Linked DNA regions of Canis lupus familiaris. The protein of the gene in region 1 binds, or shares a complex with, the protein of each later gene. Links are inferred from orthologs where the notes say so. Each region holds a gene or a part of one and is shown in the gene's direction. Other genes may lie near its edges.

The links. The genes of interacting proteins can lie anywhere in the genome.
Region 2: the proteins of DOCK5 (region 1) and ELMO1 are in contact, whole or in part, in a cryo-EM structure (PDB 8JHK), measured with the Homo sapiens proteins. The link is inferred for Canis lupus familiaris from reciprocal best matches to the Homo sapiens genes DOCK5 and ELMO1. Residues at the interface, in NP_079216.4 of Homo sapiens: Met1, Ala2, Arg3, Trp4, Val14, Ala15, Ile16, Tyr17, Asn18, Ser22, Gln23, Gln30, Ile31, Gly32, Asp33, Thr34, Glu39, Tyr41, Gly43, Trp44, Arg46, Tyr48, Lys56, Ile58, Pro60, Glu61, Thr62, Tyr63, His65, Leu66; in NP_001193409.1 of Homo sapiens: Ile7, Val8, Lys9, Ala11, Tyr18, Pro19, Leu21, Glu23, Glu36, Asp39, Gly40, Ser42, Asn71, Gly72, Gln392, Asp393, Leu400, Glu401, Lys468, Arg531, Glu535, Leu536, Lys539, Leu547, Gln550, Gln551, Asn554, Arg555, Asn582, Thr688.
Region 3: the proteins of DOCK5 (region 1) and RHOG are in contact, whole or in part, in a cryo-EM structure (PDB 8XM7), measured with the Homo sapiens proteins. The link is inferred for Canis lupus familiaris from reciprocal best matches to the Homo sapiens genes DOCK5 and RHOG. Residues at the interface, in NP_079216.4 of Homo sapiens: Val232, Phe345, Asn393, His394, Lys395, Gly396, Trp400; in NP_001656.2 of Homo sapiens: Ala121, Pro123, Leu126, Arg127, Arg128, Lys130.

What each region holds. Positions count from the first base shown.
Region 1 is NC_049246.1:32,423,287-32,430,316, reverse strand, and holds the start of DOCK5 (dedicator of cytokinesis protein 5), read left to right. Parts: upstream 1-2,648; 5' UTR 2,649-2,693; coding exon 2,694-2,736; intron 2,737-7,030. UniProt on the Homo sapiens protein: Guanine nucleotide exchange factor (GEF) for Rho and Rac. GEF proteins activate small GTPases by exchanging bound GDP for free GTP. Along with DOCK1, mediates CRK/CRKL regulation of epithelial and endothelial cell spreading and migration on type IV collagen.
Region 2 is NC_049235.1:48,788,608-48,795,722, reverse strand, and holds the start of ELMO1 (engulfment and cell motility protein 1), read left to right. Parts: upstream 1-2,833; 5' UTR 2,834-2,870; coding exon 2,871-2,959; intron 2,960-7,115. UniProt on the Homo sapiens protein: Involved in cytoskeletal rearrangements required for phagocytosis of apoptotic cells and cell motility. Acts in association with DOCK1 and CRK. Was initially proposed to be required in complex with DOCK1 to activate Rac Rho small GTPases.
Region 3 is NC_049242.1:26,499,233-26,506,580, reverse strand, and holds the start of RHOG (rho-related GTP-binding protein RhoG), read left to right. Parts: upstream 1-3,066; 5' UTR 3,067-3,169; intron 3,170-7,348.

The sequences.
Region 1 (7,030 bases):
CCCCTCTGTGCACACTGCACTCCTGTTGGTTCTACCTTCAGTATATATCAAGAATCCAACTTCTTTCCCTTCTCTCCCCTACCATCCTGGACCCACTACTTCCATTTCTTGCTTGAACTACTGAAATTTTACTATGTCTTCCCTTGGGCCTTTACAGTGTGTTCATCCCACAGGCAAGCAAATTAGATTGTGTCCTAGGTTGGCTCAAAACTCCCCAACCTTGTGTACTGTTGTAATGTATAAGCCCTTACTATGCCTTTCAGGATCCTTCTCTATCTGGCCACCCTGTGCCACTGGGACCAGGTTTGTTCTTTACTCACTTCTCACCAGCTAGGATTCCTTGTTGTTTTGGGAACCTGCTAAATATGCCTCCAGGCCTCTGCATCTGTTGTTCTTAATGTCTAGAATATTTCTCCCTAGAATCCTTACTTCCTTCTGGTCTATACTTCAATATCACCTTTGCAGAGTACTCTGTATAAAACAATGGCATCCCAAACATCCTATCCTCCCTGTTTTGTAGTTTTCTCTACACGATTAGCCTTTCTTTGTTTGGCATATCTTTATTTGTTTTGTTTTATTCTCCTCTTCCAGACTGTAGGCTCTGTGAAGGTAGGGATTTTACGGTGTTCACTGTTGTGCCCCATTCTAAGAACAATGCTTGACACCTAATACGCACATAATTAACAGCTGTGGAAAAAAAGAAGAGATTATCTAGCCTGGGAAATTAGGTTAATCATGAAGTCATTGGCAGAGGAAGAGAAATTATTTTTCAGGGAAATGGTGGAATGCCTTCATGCCTTCTGGATGTTGTCTCAAGTGATAGATTTTTAAATTATCATCACACTCTGTGTATAAATACCTATTTGTTGATGGAGAAGAAAGTAAGCCCTAGGAGTTACCCACCTAGAACAGGACCCCTTCCCCGCCCCCCCCCCCCCTTTTTTAAAATTTCAGATCTGGTTTTGCAAAAGTTACCAAAGTTACAATGCACTAATTCTTCCTTCCAAGATTCACTCTTTTACTACGTGTTTATTTTACCTTTCTTTCATGTTCCAAATAGGCAAGGCAAATTTCCCAGACTGCAAGGACAAAACGGTTTCTTTTGAGAGGTATTTTCTGGAATCGTGAACATAAATCGGCTGGTCATTTACTCTGAGATTTTATTTCTATGGGTAAGGTAGCAAAGCATCCCTCCCCTCCACCGGGCAGCACAGGCGTCTCTAATCCCATCTTCAGTCCTGAGGTCTCTCCAGGAGCAAGTGAGATCCTGGAGGGCGTTCGGAGGGCTCCAACAGCAGTCTTCTGCAGTTCAGAAGAGCAGGCTTTGCTTTTGGCTGCTGGTCAAAACCATACAGTGAAGGAGAGATGACTCGGATGTGTCCTGTCCCCCTCTCCGCAGGGATGCTCTTTAGGCTGCTGGTCTTTTGGAAAAGGCGGTTGGGGGGGGTGTGTGTCTTGGGGCGAACTTCTCCCTTGATCATAGGGGCCCTCAATCTCTTCACTTGGGGAGGAGTCCCGGTGTTTGGGGTGGGGGTGGGGTGGGGGTACAGGATTTCCAAGTTAAGGCTCTCTAAACTCTAAAGAATTTCCCCAACGGAGCTCCCCGAGGAGACGGACCTTTCTGGGGTGCACATCGCCCCCCCCCCCCCCCGCACCAGGTCTCTATTTACCCGAAGACGAATGCGCCTGCTTTGAAAGCTCTAAACGTTATATGGTCTCATTCATTTGGGGGAATCTAAAAATCAGTGAAAGGGAATACAGGGGAAAGGAGAGAAAATGAGTTGAAAATATCAGTGAGGGTGACAAAACAGGAGAGACTCCTAAGTCTGGGAAACGAACAAGGGGTCGTGGAAGGGGAGGTGGGTGGAGGGATGGGGGTGACCGGGTGACGGGCACTGAGGGGGGCACTTGATGGGATGAGCACTGGGTGTTATGCTGTATGTTGGCAAACTGAACTCCAATTAAAAAAATTTTTTTTTAAAGAGAAGGAAAGCATTAAAGGGTGGCCCCGGGAGAGCCTGTGGGCCCTGGAGTCCTTCCGGCTCTCTCTCTCTCTCTCTCTCTCTCTCTCTCTCTCTCTCTCTCTCTCTCGGTCAGTGAAAGCTGCAGGGGGTGAGCGCAGCGTCAGCTGCTCATTCATTCAACAAATATTTACTGAGCGCCTGCTGAGTGCCAGGCACTGGGGGGCCCGGGGCGAGGAGCGACCTGGGACTTGATCCTGGGCCCCCCGGGGGCGCGGTGGGCGCGCCTCTGCTCCCCCGGGGTGCGCCGCCACCTCCAGGGACGCCCCGGGCTCCAGCCTGGAGGGTCTCACGGGGGACGAAGGGAAGGCGGCGGAGGGCGCAACAGTAAAACGAAAAAGCCGGAGCCGGTGGGCCCCGGGGCGCCGCTCCCGGGGAGCGCGCGAGGCGGGGCGGGGGAGCGCGGAGCGCGGAGCCCCGGGCGCGGAGGCGGCCCCGGCGGGCGGAGGGCGCGGCCGGCGGGAGGGGCCGGGGCGGCGCCGGGAGGGCCCAGCAGGTGACCGGCGGCCCGGCAGAGCCCCAGCGAGTCCCGCGCGCGCGGGCGGCGAAGTTTGCCGGAACATGGCGGAGGAGCCCGGGGCGCGCGGGAGCGGGGCGCGGCGGCGGCCGGGGCCCCGGGAGCTGTAGCCGCCGCAGCCGCAGCCGCCGCCGCCGCGGGGCGAGGTCGCCGCCATGGCCCGCTGGATCCCGACCAAGAGGCAGAAGTACGGGGTCGGTGAGTGCTCGCCCGAAGTTCGCGGGAGCGGCCCTGCCCCGCGGCGGAGGCTCCCCCCGGGCCCCCCGCGCCCCCCGCCCCCAGGGCGCAGGCGGCGCTGCCCGGCCGGGACGTCGCCCCCGGGGTGGGGAGTCTCAGCGCCCCCCGAAACGGCACTGGGGCTCCGGGACCCGAAGCCCCGGCGCCGTGCACGGTGCAAACGTCAAAAGCGAGCGCTCGCCCGCGGGGGTGTGGGGCGCGGGCCCGGGGCTCCCCCTTCTCCGCCCCAGCCTTGCGGATCCGTGGAGTGGTTTGTCCGCTCGCGGACCCGGGGCTTCTGCGTGCCGTCTGCTGGGCTCCCCAAGTGAGGTCCCCAAGTGAGGTGTGCGGGGGAGGGGGTAGGACGGCGCCCCCTTCCTCCAGGGACTGGGATGCCGGTAACAGTTGTAAAGTGAATGGGACACTCAAGCCGTGGGGTGGGGGTGATGGAGACGGAGGAGACGGCGAGCGGGCTGGGGGCGCGGACGCGCGCGTCCCTAACCGAGCGTGCCTAAAGGCGCCTACGACCGCCCTGCGAGGCCGCAGTTCCGTCCTGGGGCAGATAACGTGAGGATTTTTTTTTTTTTTTTTTTAAGATTTTCTTTATTCATTCATGAGAGGCACAGAGAGAGGAGAGAGAGAGGCAGAGGGAGAAGCAGGCTCCATCCATGCAGGGAGCCCATGCGGGACTCGATCCCGGGACTCCAGGATCAGGCCCTGGCCCGAAGGCAGGCGCTAAACCCCCCGAGCCACCCAGGGATCCCCACAGGAGCATATTTTGTTAAGGAACCTGTGGCAGGTCCTGGCCAGGCACTGGGCTTTCCTAAAGGTGGTGCTCCAGAGCCCCCACCACCCGCGGAGGGGTGGCTGTTGTGTTGTTGGGGACCCGAAAGCCTGGCTGTGCCTGGTTTTGACCCAGGTGGAAAACCGCGGTCCTTGCACCTGGTGTGTGTGTGTGTGTGTGTGTGTGTGTGTGAGTGTGCGTGTGCGCGCGCGTGCTGAGGTCTCTTGGAAAGACTGCCCTGAGCCGGGCCATCCCTGGGGCAGGTGGACTTCCGAGCGGTTCCCTAGAATAAACACAGTTGTGTGTGTGGAGCATTTTATCACTTCCTCCCAGGTTCATTCATTCGGTCCATCTGTAATGTAATCTTTTATTTTACTCGCTTTCCCGGGCCCCATTTTTCCTTACCGCTTCAGTTAGTAGGGAGGGAGGGATCCCTGCAGCGCTTCTGTGCTTTCTGACACACTGAAGTCCTCTTGGGATACTCTTTAAACAACCTCCTCTAGGTGCTTTTCGACTCTGTAACCACAGAGTCCGTTAAAAACCCAACAACAAAACCCTTTCACATTTAAAATAGTATCTTAATTGTGACCCTTTCTGTGTATATGTAGCTGTATATGTGATATGTACTGTGTATATGTAATTCCTTGTTGCCCCCCTATTCCAAAAAACTTGTTTCCTCTTAAATTTCCTTTAGAATCCTTGCACTCTCTTGTGGCAGCAACTCAGAAATGAGTGTTTCTTCTGACCCACAGTATCTGGTCAGAATTTGGTCCTGAGGCTTCAGGCAGGTGCCAGTGAGTAGCCAGTAGTTATGGAAGGAAAATGGTCTGTGATAGATGGAATCGATTTATTTTTGAGCATTACAGAGTACTACTAAATTAAAGCATAATTAGCAATGCCTGCTCATTAGTTACTATTTACAAAGATAGCAGTTTTGATTTTGTTTCTAACAGGATCCAACACTATGACTTTCATGTAGTTAATGCCAAGCATACCCCTCAAATGTGGTTTTAATTACCATAGTCATAGGAGCAAGTGTGACATGTTTTCTTTTCAGTAATACTACCCCCCCCCCCCATTCTGGAATCAGGTTACCATGTTATTTATCAGCAGTCAAGAAAAGCATTTGAAATGCATTTCCAGGGCATAGGTGGTAGCAAAACTGCCCCAGGATATAATTTGGCACACTTATTTTACTAGACACAATAGATTTTGATTAATCTTGGCTTGACAAAAGGACCCACTGTTAGGACAGATTAGCTGAGGAGATAAATCACCATTGTTTATTCCTAAAACTCTCTGTTGTTCTCAGTGCCTCCCGCTTGGAAGCCTTCCTTGGCCTACCGGGGTAAAGTCTAAATTGAGCCCAACTTTCAAGGTTATGATAATCTGGTTCGACCTGTCTCCACCAACTTTATCTCTCCTGGCTTCTTTCATTAACTTACCAGGGCAGACACTGCCCTTCTCTGCTCTTGTGCAACATGCAATGAAGAGGTTCTCCCTTTGGGACTTTGCTCCCAGAGTGCCCTCCCAGTTCTGTATCATCTCCAATCCAGCCTATTCCTCGGGGGGCTCAGATGCATTTGCATTGCTTCCCCAGATTTGGTATGAACCGGACCTTCTTCCCAAACCCGTATGCCTCTCCTCACAATCACTACATTGTGCCACACTTTGTTACTTATCCTTTTATCCTTGGGTTCACTGAATCAGGTTATGGTTCTGTATCCCTGTCATGATACCAGGTAGAGAGCCTGTATTCAGTAACTGCTTGTCCTTGCTGTTGAGGTGACACTCTAAAGCCTTAACCTCATTTCCATGATGATTTAATGCAGTTCCTCTCCCCACCCCCCCACCCCCATTCACCACAGTATGAGTTTTATTTTGTTTGGTTAAATGTGCGTAGTGAGAGCCTTCGGTGTCTTTATTTCTTTGCAAGCAGAAAAATGAGATGTGCTGTTGAGAAAATAAGGAAGCATCGAGTAGACAGACTTCATTTAAATATAATTAGGAAAATTGGCTTGTTGGACTTTTTGGGGGATAGTTATCACTTACGAGTGTCTGCTGGTCAGATTGTGTTTCTGGGTGAAGGAAACCATGTGATAGTCATTTTGAAGCATTTCAATGACTCACAGCTACTCTGTGTGAGGGTAGTGCTTTGATCTCAATTTGAATTTTGCTAAGTGAAGCTAGCAGTCTCTTATATTATCTTGGTGCCACTATTGGCTGCTCCTGACAGAGCCTAGATTTTTCTATGGGGACTGAAATGCAATCTGACTGGGCTTTCTTAGTTCTTAAACATAGCTCTGTTGGCTCAATCTCTAGCATTTTGGAGGGCCTAAATGACCCATGTGTGTTATCTGTTATCAAGGGAAAGGACCAATAGATTTGCTTTTTTAAAGTTCTAGTCCATTAGTATCCTGGTGTGAAGTGTTACGTGCCAAATGCTTGGAAGCAAGTGCTCTTCCGTACAGCCATGGAAAACTGTCTTTTCTTCTTTCCATTTTCTTTATTTTCTTTTCCTTTATTCTTTTTTCCCCTTTCTTTCTTGAATTTTTTTTCTGTTCGAGGACATGAGGATATAATCACTTTTATTTAGATTTCAAACAAATGTCAGTGATATATATCCAGGTTACTTTTCTGATTATTGAAACATTTATGTTTTAAGTCTGCTCCCAAACAAGCTATTTATTATTAATAACGGTCCCAGATTATGTTGTTGGTTGATTTTTTGTTGTTGTTGCAAAAACAATTCATTATTGTTTGTGATCTGTATTGTTATAATGTGATAAAAGGTAGTGTGGGAGCATCTTTGCTTTCACCATTAGCTCTTCATCTGTTGGTTCTGCTAGGCCTCATTAATCTGAAAGCATTTAGCTTAGTAGAGGAGACTCAAATGCTGATGTAAAAAATTGAAAGCAGACTCCTGTAGCCCTTTGTTAATGCATTCAGGTGTGCTGTGGTTCCCATCCAATCCTCAAGAGGAGGGTCTGAGGGAATAACTAATCCAGTTTCCCTTTAAAGAGAGGAACTTGGTGTCTAAAGAGGTAAAGTGAATTGCTTAACACAAGATAACCTTTTGATTGCATGAACTCTGTTGGTCCTCTGGTGAAGCCACTGGATCCCTTTCTTAGAATAATGATTTTAAGTGTATAAAGTCAACTATGAGGAATTGAAAATGGAACCCAGTTGTATTGAAATACAGCTGTCAGGGTATTTTTCAAAATTGTAATATTGTGATACGTGTGCTTATTAATGCACTAAATAACAAGATCTAGTGGCATGTCTGTAAACTACCATACTTTCAAATTAGTGATGAGTATATATGATTTTTTTAAGATATCTGCAGTAACCATGATAATGATATGAAAATACTTATGATTTCAGTTTGGTACAAGTTGGGGTTTATTGCCTACAGTCATAATTAAATACTAAGTTTTAGAAAATTGAGATGCATTTTTTTTTCCCATTTCAAATCCATGGATCTCTGAATTT
Region 2 (7,115 bases), on another chromosome or scaffold:
CTGTAGGCCATAGATAAAGTTAATGGACAAGTTAGAATCTGGATGACTAAAGAAGAAACCTCAGATAGACCCTTAGACCCAATGCTTAACAGGAATAAAATTGGAGATTAAGAACAGGGTCTCACTATATAGTATTTGTGGAATATAAGTAAGAGGGGGGAAAAAGGAAAAAAGTGGAACTAATGAAGCCAAAGAATCGGATCCTCATCGTGATGGAGGGAGCCCCTTAGTGGGGTGTCATCCAGAACCCTAGTGTTCTTACCTCATCTGTGGATATGGGGTGACATTGGGCACCTGCATCAAATCCGAAAAGATTTACAGAAGGTGGACCGAGGACTTTGGTCTCCTATATCAACCCCAAAAGCAGAGACATGGCCTAACAGTAACGTAGCAAAGAATTTCCAGTCGTGCTTTGCCATTGGATCGGTGGTGGGATAGAGACACATTTGAAAAATAATTGACAAGACCTCAGGCTGTATTGTTTTTAATGGTTAATTTATATGACAACTATTTTTTTTAAAAGCTGAAACTGGCATCTTTCAAGGGAAAGATGGCTAAGATGAGAGAGATTTGAAACCACAGGACTCAAAAAGGAGTTAGAATAATCGAGAAAAGTCAGTCCTCAGGAGAGAATGTTTAGCTAGAATTCAATGTCTTTAAAGATCTATCAAGTTATCTCTTAGAGGAAGGATGTGAGGTACTCCATGTTAACTGCAGAGGGCAGAGCTGGGACCAAAGGTTACAAGGAGGTGGATTTTTCTAATTGCTGTGCAAGGGGAGACAGAGTTCCCTATTTACTCTTGGAACATTACGACAGCTAACATTTCGTGAGTGCCGGTGATGCTCTGCGCTATAGTTAAAATCTTGATATGCCTTAGCTAAAAAGTTGTGGATCAAATTCTTAGTTATCATTACAAGCGCCTCATGGCATCATTAATAAAGGCTCCATTTGCTGATTGCTTATTCAATTGCTTCATTTTGATAGTTAGCCCGTTTACTGTTATTATATCATTATCATTTTACAGATGAGGAAATAGGGAAGATAAATTACTTTTCTGGAATCATCCTGTTTTAAGTTATTGGCTTATAATGATCTGGACCCAAATCTTCCCGGTACTAATATTGCCTCCAGAGGTTATGCATATAGTAAGAGGTCAGATCAGGGCTGCTCATTAGAAATAGAATGTGAGCCACTAACGAGAGCCATCTGTGTAATCTTACTTTTTCTATTTGCCACATTAAAAATGTAAAAAGCCTGGCTGGCTCAGTCGGTGGAGCGTGGGACTCTTGATCTCCGGGTCGTGAGTTTGAGCCTCATGTTTGGTGTAGAGATTACTTAAAGAACCTAACTTCTTAAAGAACTAAAATCTTTTTTTTTTAAGATTTTATTTATGTATTCATGAGAATACAGAGAGAGAGAGAGAGAGAGAGGGAGGCAGAGACACAGGCAGAGGGAGAAGCAGGCTCCATGCAGGGAGCCTGACCTGGGACTCGATCCCGGGTCTCCAAGATCAGGCCCTGGGCTGAAGGTGGTGCTAAACCACTGAGCCACCTGGGTTGCCCAAGAACTAAAATCTTAAAAACATTTAAGAATGTAAAAAGAAAATAGTGAAAATATTCTAAATTATATATATGTTGTATATATTTACACTATATATATTTTATTTGTATATACATTTTACATATATATATTATATATATGTATTTTTTAACCTAATAAAATAACCCAGTGGACTGATCACATCTTACACTATTAGCATTTGTTGAAATGCTATAATCAGCATAAAAGTTTCTAACAAGCTATTTTACATTCTGTTTTTCATACAAAGTCCGGTGTCTGTTTTCCACTTCCAGAACATCTCAGGGCGAGCCACATTTGGAGTGTTCAATAGTTGCTTGGGGCTCTTGGCTGCCAGCACAGGGGAGGGGGTGGGACTGCAATTTAAGCAGGAGTTTTACCCTCCACCTTAGAGGCCAATGCCTCCCTGCTCCCGGGTTACCAACTTGGCCAGTTTGAAGGGAATGCATTAGTAACCGCCTTTGTCTTTTCGGGTAGATAGCTATTTTTTTCTTTTTGAATTTGTTAAGGACAGGTGTTTCTCCTGCAACCTTCCAACCACTGTCACTTGCCTCCTTGGCAGCTAGGCTGGGAGTTAGTATTTTTTGATTCTTTGCTTTGAAAAATCACTGGAGTGGGTCGCATTAGACAGTGCACCCCCAATACCGAGCTGGGGAGGGTAGAACGTCTCGCTTCGTGAAAAGTCATGCCAAGTTAGGGAGTCCTTGGGGTCACTGATGAGAACTGCAGGGCGCACATGCCTCGGGGGCTCCAACAGAGAGCAGCAGAGGTTGGGTTACCCTCGCCAGGCCGCTCCGGGGTAAGCCCAAACGCCTTTTAAAGTCGCTTTAAAACAACCCGCCTAAGTCTCCCCCCCCACCCCCTCGAAATTGCATGCCAGCTGCCAAAAATGAAAGCATATAAAAAGACGCCACGCGCCCTCGGCCTCCCGGAGGTGGCGCTATGACGGTGACGGAGTTAATTAGTGCCTGCAAAGCGCCGCGTGTGAGCTCATCCGAGAAGTCATGCTCTGCACACATATTATTTATAGCCGATCTGAGGCGTGCACGGTGCTTGACATTTTCCTTATTTTTAAGTAGGGGGACTTCGGAAAGTGGTGGGCGGCCCCGCACCCCGTCCCCGCCGCAGCCCCCCGCCCCGCAGGGCCGAGGCGGCGGCAGCTCCCGGGGCGCGCGGGCGGGGACAGCGCCAACCCCGCGAGTCCCGCGCAGGTGCCGGGGGCGGCGGCGGCCCCTCGGCAGGGCCGCCCGCCCGGGAGGGGACTCGGCGGCCGCCCGCGGGATGCCTGCAGATGCACAATGTGTCTCCGGCCAGCAGGAGGGAGGAAGAGGAAGTGAGAGCAGCGGCGGCCGGCGGCGCGGCGGCCGGCGGGGCCCCAGGGTGAGTGCGTGTGCGCGGCCGGGGATGGGCACGGGGTAGAGGCAGAGCCGCCCCCCCCCCCCCCCCCGCCGCGGCCCCGAGCCGCCGGACCCAGCCTCGGGCCCCCTCCGCGGCCGCGGGGCGCCGCCGCCGCCGCCGCCGTCCTGCGACCCCCGGGCAGGTTCGTAAAGTTTCCTGCGCTGGCGCCGCGCCCCGACTCGCTGACCTCGGCGCGGCCGGGGCGGGGGCCGGGGCTCGGCGGGGGGCTCGCGAGGGGGCGCCCTGCCCCGGGGCCGGGGGGCGCCCCGGGCGCCGCGGAGACACTTTTGCCCGCGCCCCCGCTCCCCCGGGGCGCCGCGGCTGGAGCCGGGGGCGGCTGCGTGCGCTCGGGGCGCTCCGCACTCGGGGAAGTCTGGGCAGCGCCCGGCGGCCGCTGCGGGAGCGGGAGAGGGAGCGGGAGCGGGAGCCCGAGCCGGGCAGGGGCGCCGGGAGGGGCGCCGGGGAGGGGGGCCGGCGGCTCGGACCCCGGCTTCTGCTCCCGCACCCGCGGGTGGGAGGGAAGCCCTCGGCGAGCGCGCCCCGGGGAGGGGACAGCGATGGGGACGGGCAGGGGGCGCGCTTGGGGCGCCCGGGACCCTCGGGGGAGACGGCGGGTCCCCGCCGCCTGGGGACGCGCCTGGGGACGCCGCTGGGACCGCGAGGACGGCGGGGAGGGGGCCCCGAAGGGCGGTCGCGGCTCGGGAGGGGGCGCAGCGGGCGGCCCTGCACGGTGGCGGCAGCGGGGCGCGGCCCGGGTCCCCGCCGCGGGGGGCGGCCAGGTGGCGGGTGGCTCCGAGGGAGGGAGACGCGCACGGCGGCGGCCCGGGGCGCGCGGGGGGCCGGGGCCGGGGAGCCCGAGCGGGTCGCGGGCGCGCGCGAGGGCGGGGAGCGTGGGAGCCCGCGGGCGCAGGCGGGGCGCGGGGGGCTCGGGGCGCGGGGGGCTCGGGGCGCGGGGCGCGGGCTGCCCGCCGAGTGGCCCCCGGTGCCGCCTCCCGCCCGGGGCCGCTTCAAGTCGGCGGCGGCGGGCGGGGGTCGCTGGCGGTGCGGCGGGCGGGCGCGCGGGGCCCGGCCGGGGCCCCTGGACAGCTCCCGGCTCCCGGCTCCCGGCCCCAGGAGGGTGCGCCCCGGCCCGCTGCATCCAAGGTTTCCAGAGGCGCCAAGACTAGGTTTCGCGCCCCGGGAGGCAGAGGCCGCAGGTCCTGGCTTGGGGGGGCTGGGAGGTGGGGGGCACCGGAAGACTTCAGGAGTGTTGCCGGCGTGGTTTTTTTTTTTTTTTCTTTCTTTTGTTTCTGAAATAAAAGTAACTGATGATGTGTATTTAGGCATGGACTCTCTGAGGGGTAACTTTAAGAACCCCAGGAGGGACCTAACCCTACTCAGGTTCACTTTTAGATCAAAAAGCCGGCAGCTCATCCCGCCAAGTGCCCCCCACCCCCCTCAGTGCCCAGCACTTGGCGGGATGAGCACTGGGTGTCATGCTATATGTTGGCAAATTGAACTCCAATTTAAAAAAAAAAAAAAATTTTTTTTTTTTTTTTAAAGAAAGGTAACAGTAACACAAAAATAAGAGGAAAATCTCTATAAGGGATGCCCGGGGGGCTCTGCAGTTGAGCACCTGCCTTTGGCTCAGGGAGTGACCCCGGAGTCTCAGGATGGAGTCCTGCATCAGGCTCCCTGCAGGGAGCTTGCTTCTCCCTCTGCCTGTGTCTCTGCCTCTCTCTGTGTGTCTCTCATGAATAAATAAATAAAATCTTAAGGAAAAAAAAAAAAAAAGCCAGACAGCAGCTCTTAGTAAGGGCCTCTTCTGGTCATGTTTTTCCTGTCTCCCCTCCATACCTACTTCCCAAGGTTATTTCAAGGATTATTGTCCCTCAGTTTACAGAACCTCGAAGCCCGGATGCCCTGCTGTCATGTGGCGGACTTTATTTTTTACAGTTGCCCTTCTGAACCCCTGCTCCGGACTAGGGTACATTTCCTCTCTCTGGAGGGCTGTGGTTAAATGTTGCCTTTTTTCCTACTGAATCTATTACTCAGATTTTTTTTTTTTTAATTAGATGGACTGGTTGTCTAATGGGGAAACTGTGAGGGAATGACCAGGAGTGTTGAAAGTCTGCAGGGGGATGGGGTCAGGAGGGAAGGGAACTGGGGGAGCAGCTTGGTGGATATCAGGGAAGGGGCCGTTGCAGGCCCAGGCCTGAGTCTTGTGGAATTCAGGTGCAGGCACTGGACTACGGGATGGGTGGTGCCATGAATGGTCCTATCTCCACCCCCCCTCCCCCATGTCTCATCTTCCTGCTGTTTTTAAATAAAATATTTATTTATTTTAGAAAAAGAGAGAGAGAGAGAGAGAATCTCAAGCAGACTCCCTGCTGAGGTGGGGCTCCATCCATCCCACAACCCTGAGACCATGACCTGAGCCAAAACCAAGTCAGCCACTTAACCACTTAACCGACTGGGCTGCCCAGGTGTCTCTCCTGCTTTTAACTGCAGCCATTCTGACCACCTTACATTCTTCTTCACCAAGTTCTCTCCCCAGAGCCTTTGAATATGTTACTCCTTTTGCACAAAGCATGTTTCCCCGCATTTCCAGATAGCTCACTCCCTTGTTCACTTCAGGTCTCTCTGCCCAATTGTCAGCTTACAGGCAGCCTTTCCTTATTAATTAATTAATTTATTTATTTAAAGATGTTATTTATTTGACAGAGAACCAGAGAAAAAGCATGAGCAGGAGAAGGGGCAGAAGGAGAAGCAGGTTCCCTGCTGAGCAGGGAGCCTGATTAAGGGCTCTATCCTAGGACCCTGGGATCATGACTAGTGCTGAAGGCAGATGCTTAATTGACTGAATCACCCAGGTGTCCCACAGGCGGCCTTTCCTGATTATCTCCTGTGAAATAGCAACCAGCCCCCCCTCTGGTCCTCTTAAGCTACTCAGTTTTCCTGCTGAGCACTTTTCACCCCCTGGCACATTATATATTCATTTATTTATTTGATTATGTCTGTTCCTCCCATTAGAATGAAAGTTCCATGAGCGCAGGGACCTTGTCTCTTCTGTGTAGATTCAGAACCTAGACCGATTGCCAGCACAATAGGTGCTCAAAAAATACTTGCTGATGGACTGAGTAAGAGATGACTGTTACGGGAATTATACCGGGAAAATATTGCAGTGTCAGTGGCAAGCGAATCCAGGTAACAGGCTTTGATTGTTTCCTCTGTCCTTTGCACCATGCCCAGCGGCTCCTCTTGCAGACCCCTTTCCATCTTGAGCCAACTCAGAGTTTCAGCCCAAAGAAAGAAACAGAGAGATGGTTCCTTGGGAGAGTGGAAAACCAGTACAATTTATTGATAATGCATAACCACTTCAGATCCGGTGTTTGTTTGGTCACACTCCTTGGAGAAAGTCTTTTCTTTTATTATTGTTTTTAAAGATTTTTATCTATTTATTCATGAGAGACACAGAGAGGCAGAGACATAGACAGGGGGAGAAGCAGGCTCCCTGCGAGGAGCCTGATGTGGGATTCGATCCCGGGACCTTGGGATCCCACCCTGAGCTGAAGGCAGATGCTCAACCACTAAGCCACCCAGGCTTTCCTTTAAAGATTTTATTTATTTACTAGAGAGAGAATAAGTGAGAGAGAGAGAGGGAGAATATGAGCAGTGAGGAGGGGGAGAGGGAAAGGGAGAAGCAGACTCCCCCAGTGAGCAGGGAGTTCCTGGACTTGATCTCAGGGATCATGACCTGAGCCAAAGGCAGATGCTTAACGTAAGACTGAGCCCCCCAGGCGCCCCTGGAGAAAGTCTTTTCACAACATGTGTTGCTTTAGCCAGGGCAATACTCCCCTAGAAAGCAGGGCATTACCGTGAGTGGGGTGGGGTCAGAGATAGCCCCTGTATCCCGCTCTGCTCCCCCAGAAGATGGAGGTGGAGGCAGAGGAGGAGAGGTAAGGGAGGAAGCATAGGGAGGCCGGGTGGCAGACGCAGGGGAGAAGATAAATGAGACGTGTCTAGGAGAAGAAAAATAAAAGAGAAAACAGATGAGGGGCCTCTACAGTGTTTCTAAATCATAAGCACTTATTAAATTATGGTATTGAGAGAGGACAATACTTAAGTGTTTTAAAGTAACTTACCCCCTTTGGGGGTT
Region 3 (7,348 bases), on another chromosome or scaffold:
TTCCAGTGAAGGAGTCTGAAACCCAGATAAGAGTGAGGCCTGGGTAGTTTCAGTAGCCAGTCTGGCTGAGCCAAGACTAGACTTCAGGTCCTCTGAAGCACAGCGCAGGGCTCTTTCTTCCTCCTCTGGTATCTTCACATGTAGCAGGCCCATATCCCACCAGACTATGAAATCCTCGAGGCCAAGTCAGGTTCTCCCACCTAAGCAAGCTGAACTGAGGCCATGCATGCCCAAGACCAAGAGCTTTGGAAATTCAGTCTGACTCCATGCTGCCAATCCAGCATTTTGGTCTACTGTGTATAATGTGCACCCTACTCTTACTCTCCTACTCTACTCTTAGTCTTGTGCAGAGTAAAATCCCAAAGTTGATTTTTAAATTTTTTTTGCAAGAAACTTTTTAAAAATAAGCTCTTGGGGCACCTACGTGGCTCAGTCTGTTGAGCCTCTAACTCTTGGCTGGAGCTGTGATCTCAGGTGATGAGATCAGCCTGTGTAGGGGGCTCTATGCTCAGCACAGAGTCTGCTTAGGATTGTCTCTTCCTCTCCCTTTGTTCCTCCCCCTCGTGCACTCTCTCTCTCAAACAAATAAATAAGTCTTAAAAACAAAAAAAAAAAAGTTCTTTATCCAGAATAGCAGTATATAAATCAGATAAAAGCAAAATCACTCTGGTTGAAGGGAAGGGAGGCCAGAGCCCCACTATTTTCCTCCCTTCAAATCCTGGGAGGGGAACTCTAGGAACTCAGCTCAAAAACCTTTGTTCTGAGACATAATTTTTAATGGCTTCTAGAAGCTGCTTTAGTATGTACTCCTCCACTGAACCCTGTCTTTTATGGAAACGCACAATGCTTTCTTCATCATCAAACGCCAAGCACCAGCCAGCCAGGTGTTCCTAGTAGGGTATAGAGGGGCATCAGATTTTCCTTTTGTCTTTCCTGCTCTCCTCTTCTCCACAGAGAGGAGTTTGTCCCAAGTGCTATGGGGAGGGAGGACAGAGACCCAAACTCCACGTAGGAGGATCAGGACAAGCTTACCCAGAAAGCTCATAGAGAATGAATTCACCTACTCAGTCATCTACCAGCTTGACTCTGACAGAGGCTCTATTTTGTTGTCCTATACCATACCCTCTAGCCATGTGTACTGTTGAGCACTTGAAATATGTCTAGTCAAAATTCAGATGTAGTGTGAGTATAAAACACATAGCAGATTTCAAAGCCTTAGTACAAAAAAAGAATGTAAAATACCCTATTCATTTGTATAGTGAATAATTTTATAGTGGTTACATGTTGAATGATCCCATTTTAGATATAGTGGGCTAAGTAAAACATATCATTAAAATTAATTTTACCTGTTTCTTTTTACTTTTTAAAAAATGTCATCAATAGAATATTTTAAGTTACATGTGTAGCTTACATTATTTTCATTAGACAGCACCGGGAGAGACTATCAACCGCATGGCAGAGGTGGGGTGGGTGTATCTGTGTTGTGGGAGGAAGGGTGATGGCAACCACGCAGGGAGTGGTCCTTTGGGGCCGAATTGTGAAAGTCTGAGTGGATTTCGCCTGGCAATCAATACAGGAAAGAAGGCACGGCAGAGGGAATAGAAGGGGCAAAGACCCAAAGATGTGGGCAGACATGTTGTGTTTAGGAAACTTATTCTTTTTTATTTTTTTTAATAATTTTATTTACTTATTTATTTATTTATTTATGATAGTCACACAGAGAGAGAGAGAGAGAGAGGCAGAGACACAGGCAGAGGGAGAAGCAGGCTCCATGCACCGGGAGCCCGACGTGGGACTTGATCCCAGGTCTCCAGGATCGCACCCTGGGCCAAAGGCAGGCGCCAAACCGCTGCGCCACCCAGGGATCCCGGAAACTTATTCTTATAGCATGATTTTTTTTTTTTTTTTAAAGCATTCGTTGAATGTTTACTTTGAGCCGGGCACCAATAGCAGGCCTTTTACATCCATTCTCATGTTATCTCCCCTCTACAGGACGAAGGAGAGGTTATTCTATTTTACCAAAGATAGAACTGAGGCTCAGAAGGTTACGCTATTTATTCTTCCTTTTTATCTGGAAAGCCTCTTGGAGACAGGGAGCCTGTCCTAAACGCCGCACGGAGCTGCAGCTGTCCACGTGGTAGGCGCTCAGAAAGTTTGGGTTGAACGGAGGAAGGCTATCCGCCCCTTCTGGAGCCGTCAGAGCTCCTGAGCAACACCTGGGTGCAGAAGCAGCAGAGGGCGCCCGCGAGCCCGTCCACCCAGCTGTCCCCGGGGCGCCGGCAGGATCTTGGGCCTGGGTGCCGCCCTGCAGCCCTAAGCGGTGGCGCGCCCGGCGGCGAGGAGAGAGAGGGCGAGGGCGAGGGCGAGGGCGAGGGCGAGGGCGAGGGCGAGGGGAGCCCTACGTCCTCCGCCCGCCCCGCCCCGCCCCGCCCCCTCCCCTCCCCAGAGCCCAGCGCACGGAGCAGCCGGTTGCGGAACGACGACACGACATCCTGTTTTTGGGGCCCGCGGCTCGGTCGGCGCCTCTGCTGATCTTGTCTTTCCCCGGGTGCTGACGCCAGCTCCCCTGCCCCCAGTCTCCGCACCCTCCCCAGGGGTCTGGGGCCTTCCCACTGCTGAATCACCACCACTGCGCGCTCCGCTGGGGCTCGGGGCAGGGGTGGGGACTGTCCCAGCCGGACCCACTCCGGCCAACCCGCAGGCTGGGCCAGCGCTCCCTCCCTGGGCTTGACCGAGGCGCCCACCCTGGGGCGCCGGTTCTCAGCATCTTCCCGCGGGGAGTGGGTGGGGCAAGATACGGGGAGGGGGACAAAAGCTTGGGGCCCCGGCTACGGCCTCGACTGGGGTGGGGTGGCACGGAGGAGACGGGCAGGACTGACCTTAGGAGACCTGACTTAGGGCCCTCCGAGGCAGAGGGCCGGGGTTAGGGAGCCCAGGGCCCGACCCCGGACCGCGCCGGGCAGGTGTTGGGGGGGAGACCCCGGCCGGGGGGCCCGGGCCTCGCGCACTTCCCGGTCCGGCCCGCCCCGCCCCGCGCCCCGCCCCGCGCCCCGCCCCGCCCCGGCCGGCCCGCCCCCCCCACTTCCTCCGGCCTCCCGCTCTCACTTCCTTCTCGAGCCCGGAGCCGCTGCCGCCGCCCCCAGCTCCCCCGCGGCGGGGAGGGCACCAGGTGAGGCCCGGCGCGGGCCGGCGGGCCGGGGGGCCGGGGGGCCGGGGGAGGGGGCGGGGGAGGGGGCGGGGGAGCGCGGCCGGCAGGGACTGCGCGCGGGCGCGGGCGCGGGCGCGGCGCGGGCCGGGGAAGTTCGCTTGCGGGAGGCGCGGGCGGGAGCTTCTCGGCTCTCCGCAAGCTGGGCGGGCGCGGCCGGGCGGGCGGGCGGGCGGGCGGGGAGCCGGCCCCTGCGAGCCGGCGGCGGTACCGTGACGGTGGGTTTCTGTCCCCGGGGAGGCGGCACCGCGGAGGTGGGAGAGTCCCCGGCTCCGAGAGAAAAGTCTCCGAAGTGGAAGAGCTCGGAGCTGGGCGATGGGATTCAGGGCTGGGGTGACCTCAGAAGGGGAGGGGGGTGTCCCAAATTGCGTGAAGGAAGGGGGCCCCCTGGGCTGCAGAGAAAGTGCTCCCCTCCGCTCGGCAGTTGTGACACTTGCAAGGTTGGAGGTTGGAGGGGGGCGGTGTCTGGGGCCCTCGAAGCCCTGGACTGCGGAGAATAGAGCTCCCTCCCTGCAAGTGCCAATCCGGACCCGCATTCGCAGGCTGCAGTCCAAGGTCCTGTGCACTCAGGGGAGGGCAGGGAGGGGGGAGCCCCGCCAGTCGCAGTCTCGCTCTCTATGCCTGTTTTTCTGACGCCCAACCTCTCCATCCCTGGAATGAAGCAACAGGTATTTAGTTGGCAAACATCTCTGTGCCTGGCTGACCAGGGCCTGGCCTCGCTCTTTGGGGGGTAAACTGAGGAAGAAGAGGGCCTGGTCTTGTGACTAGCGGTGGAAGGACTCTCATTCAGAGGTGCTGATAGGCCCTGACAAGGTGGCATCGCTGAGATGGGGGCTATTTTGAGGGGATGAGAGAACAGACCTTCTGGGTGGCAGTGCCAGCTCTGGCCTTGGGAAATAATTGGGAGCATCTCCTATTCCCTCCACCCAATCGTTAGTCCCTAAATTCTATATTCTCATTTCTCTTCCTCCATTCCTTCTTCAGACCCTATCTGCAAACACTCCATCACCCTCTTCTTGCATCCTCTGTAGTCTTTCACCTAAACACACTGTCATGCCCAGGTCCTGTCCTGTCACCTGCCCTGCCCCTCTGTCCACCTCTGTTCCCTGCAGCCTCCCCACCTCCCTTCCTTGCCCCCCTACTGGTTCCCAAACACATATCCACCCTCTTGCTTCTTCCACCTTTCCTCACTTCTCTTAATCTCCCTGTCTCCTTCCCTTTCAGCCACTTATCTCTGGCTTTGGGGTCCAGAACTTTGGTGGGTTTGAGAGCCTTTTCAGATCTCCCGACCTCAGAGAGACAGGCTACAACCTCCCAGTGATAAAGATGATTAAAGGGCTGGAAAACTTTTCTCTATGTGTATTTGCCTGGGATTGTCAATGTGTCTATGTCTTTATCTCTTGGAGACAAAATAACTGCCCTCAGCCTTGAGAGGGCCCAGGGCAGGGGAAACCAGCAGAATGAAGGGAACCTGCAGTGGGTGAGGTTGTGGTTAGGCAGGAGGAAGCAGTCTGTAGCAGTAAGGGTAGAGTGACACAGGAATAAGACTGGTGAGCGAGGCCGTGGGAAATCAAATCACCCAAACCCTTGGGTGCTTAACCAAGAGGCCAGGTATAGAGGCTGGGAGAGAGCCTGAAGGCCCCTGATTCCAGTGCTTGCTTGTTCCTACACCACCTGTTAGGGAAAATGGGATGAGGTCAGCTAGGTGTGGTGGAAGGAAAGGGAGAGGACAAAGGCAGGATTCTGGAGGGAAGACTAGATAGCTGGTCTAACTTAAGTCTTTACTGTTTTAGTTAAGGAGAAGGAAGTAAGGCAGAAGTGTCTGCCCCGTCTTCCCTCCTTCCTTCTGGGGCCTGCCCAGCCTGGGAACTCACGTGCCCTGGCTGCATTAGGGTCTCCATGACAAGTCCTCTGCCGACCCCTCTGCCTTCAGGCATTGTTAATTTTCCCCCTCTCATCCAGGACCCTACTCCCTGTGTTTCAGGAGTTCCTCTCAAGTTTAACTTCAGTCCAGCTTGGCTCTACGCGCTCTTGTCCCCATTCTAAAGCTCCTTCCTCAAGTCTTTGGGAAGCATGCTGAGAGATCCTGCCTCTCCACCTCAAGTCTACTGTATTCATTTCTCCCCATTAGAAAAAAAGAGAAGTGGAGGGGAACTTTTTTGGGATTCCCAAGCACAACTAGATTTAAGAGCTAACCCGGTTCCTCATTCTAGCCTTTCCCCCTTCTTCCGTGAATTGTCCCTTCTTCCACCGTATCTCCTACTGTCACTCTGGGAGGTACAGGTGGTTCCACTCCAGGAGGAAATCCCAGGAACCTGCAAAAAATTCCAGCTCAGAGAAGGATGTGCATGCAAGGCACTTTTTCAGCATCGTGGCTCATTAAAAAACCATCCAGGAGTTCTGACTCCCCACCTGCTAAACCAGTCCTTATTTGGGGAAGAAATGGCTAATGTGAGATTGTCACAGATCCTGGTTGGGAATCTAGGATATGGAGAGTTGTTTCTGGCCAAATGTTAGGTCAGATGAAGTGGCCGAGGTGAGCTTTTAGGAGGTTATAGCAGGAAGATATGAGAAGTTGTAGCTATAATGAGACAGTTGGGAAGATATTAGAATGGGGGTAGCTGGGCAGCTGGGAAGAAGGTGGGGGCCTGGGCCCAGAATGAAGACCTCTCCCTCCATACACAGTGTAGACCCATTAGTAGTGAGGCTTGTAGGGGGTCTGTGAGGAGGGAAACCAAAGACAAAGCCTGGGCCGCCTCCCCAGAACAGATTGGTTTTCCTGTCTAGGGTCTAGCTTCCTCTTTTGTCCTCCTGTCATGGGCGGAGGACATCTTCTGCCCAGGAGCTAGAGCTTATAGAGGGAGCTTCTCAATTGGGGCAGGCTAGGGTGGCTGTCTGTCCACTAGTATCAGTTCTAGATCATGGACAGCCTCATGTTGGCTAGACATGAGAGCCAGGGAACTTGGAAGCAGAATGGGTTTGGGCATCAACCTAATCCCTTTGGCCCATTTCCTGAAGGAATAAAACCATTGTAGGGTCATCCTAAGTGAGGCCAGAAACATGGGCCCATTCCCAGGCCAGAGTAACAGTTCTCAACTTTTCTTTGTGGAAGTGACATCAGGCTGGAGGTTAAGAGACCCAGGTCCTTGCCCTGGATTTGCTCCCAAATCTGTATAACCCTGGTCAACTTTGTCTCTTGTGGCTCAGCTCCAACAATAGGAGTTGCCTGTTAATACCTCTAATGAGCATAGAGAATACTGAGAATTCTAAGTCTCTTTCCCCTAAGGGGCTCCTTGTAGCAGTACCCCCCCCCCACACACACACACTCTGGGCCCTCCTGTCTCATGCCAGCCTTGATCTGACAGGCCTCAGTAGTCTCTATCTATTCAGCAATGGGACCTGTGGCTCCTTTCCCCCAAAGCACAAGGATTCCTACGGGTTGAAAGAAGAGAATTTGGCAGAATGTCGGGGATTATGCCAGGGGGCAGCAATATGGGGGGAGTACCCTCTGCCCTGTTCCAGCTCTGCCCCACTGACAGTGGAAAATCGATGCCGGAGTTTCCTCCCTGATGTGTTTTTCCCTTGTGGAAACCCCCTCAGAGCTGGGGCGGGGCTGAAGGGACAGGGCGGCCCTGGGTCTCTCTGTGGGTATTTTCAGGTGGGGGAGGCAGGATTGGGAGGATGGCATTTCTGTACAGCATCGTGTGAAATGAGCAAAGGCAAAGGAAGTGCCACCTCACAGGCCTTTCATGGGGCCCCGGGACTGCTGAGCTGCTGTGAAGCCTGTGAAGCGGGGAGGAGGAAGCAAGTGTTGGAGCCTTCCTCTGTGCCGCCTGGTGGGGGAGGGGCAACCTCCTCAGCTCCCCCACCCAGAGCCGCCCTGGCCCTGGGGCTCACCCTTTGAGGAGCACCCCAGGTGCTAGAATGGGAAGGAAGGGAACTGGGCCTTAGTGAAAGGGTCCCAGCCCCACAGAGCCTTCCCAGCTACAGCTGTCCTGCCCCTACCAGGTAGAGTCAACTCTCTTTGCCTCTTACCCTGCTGCCCTGCAGGATCCTCTGCAGGGGCTAAAGGGTGAAGAATAGCAAGAAGTGGAGAGTTCTTCAGCGTACATTGTTGTTTTCTTTTTAAGGCTGGGAACTAGG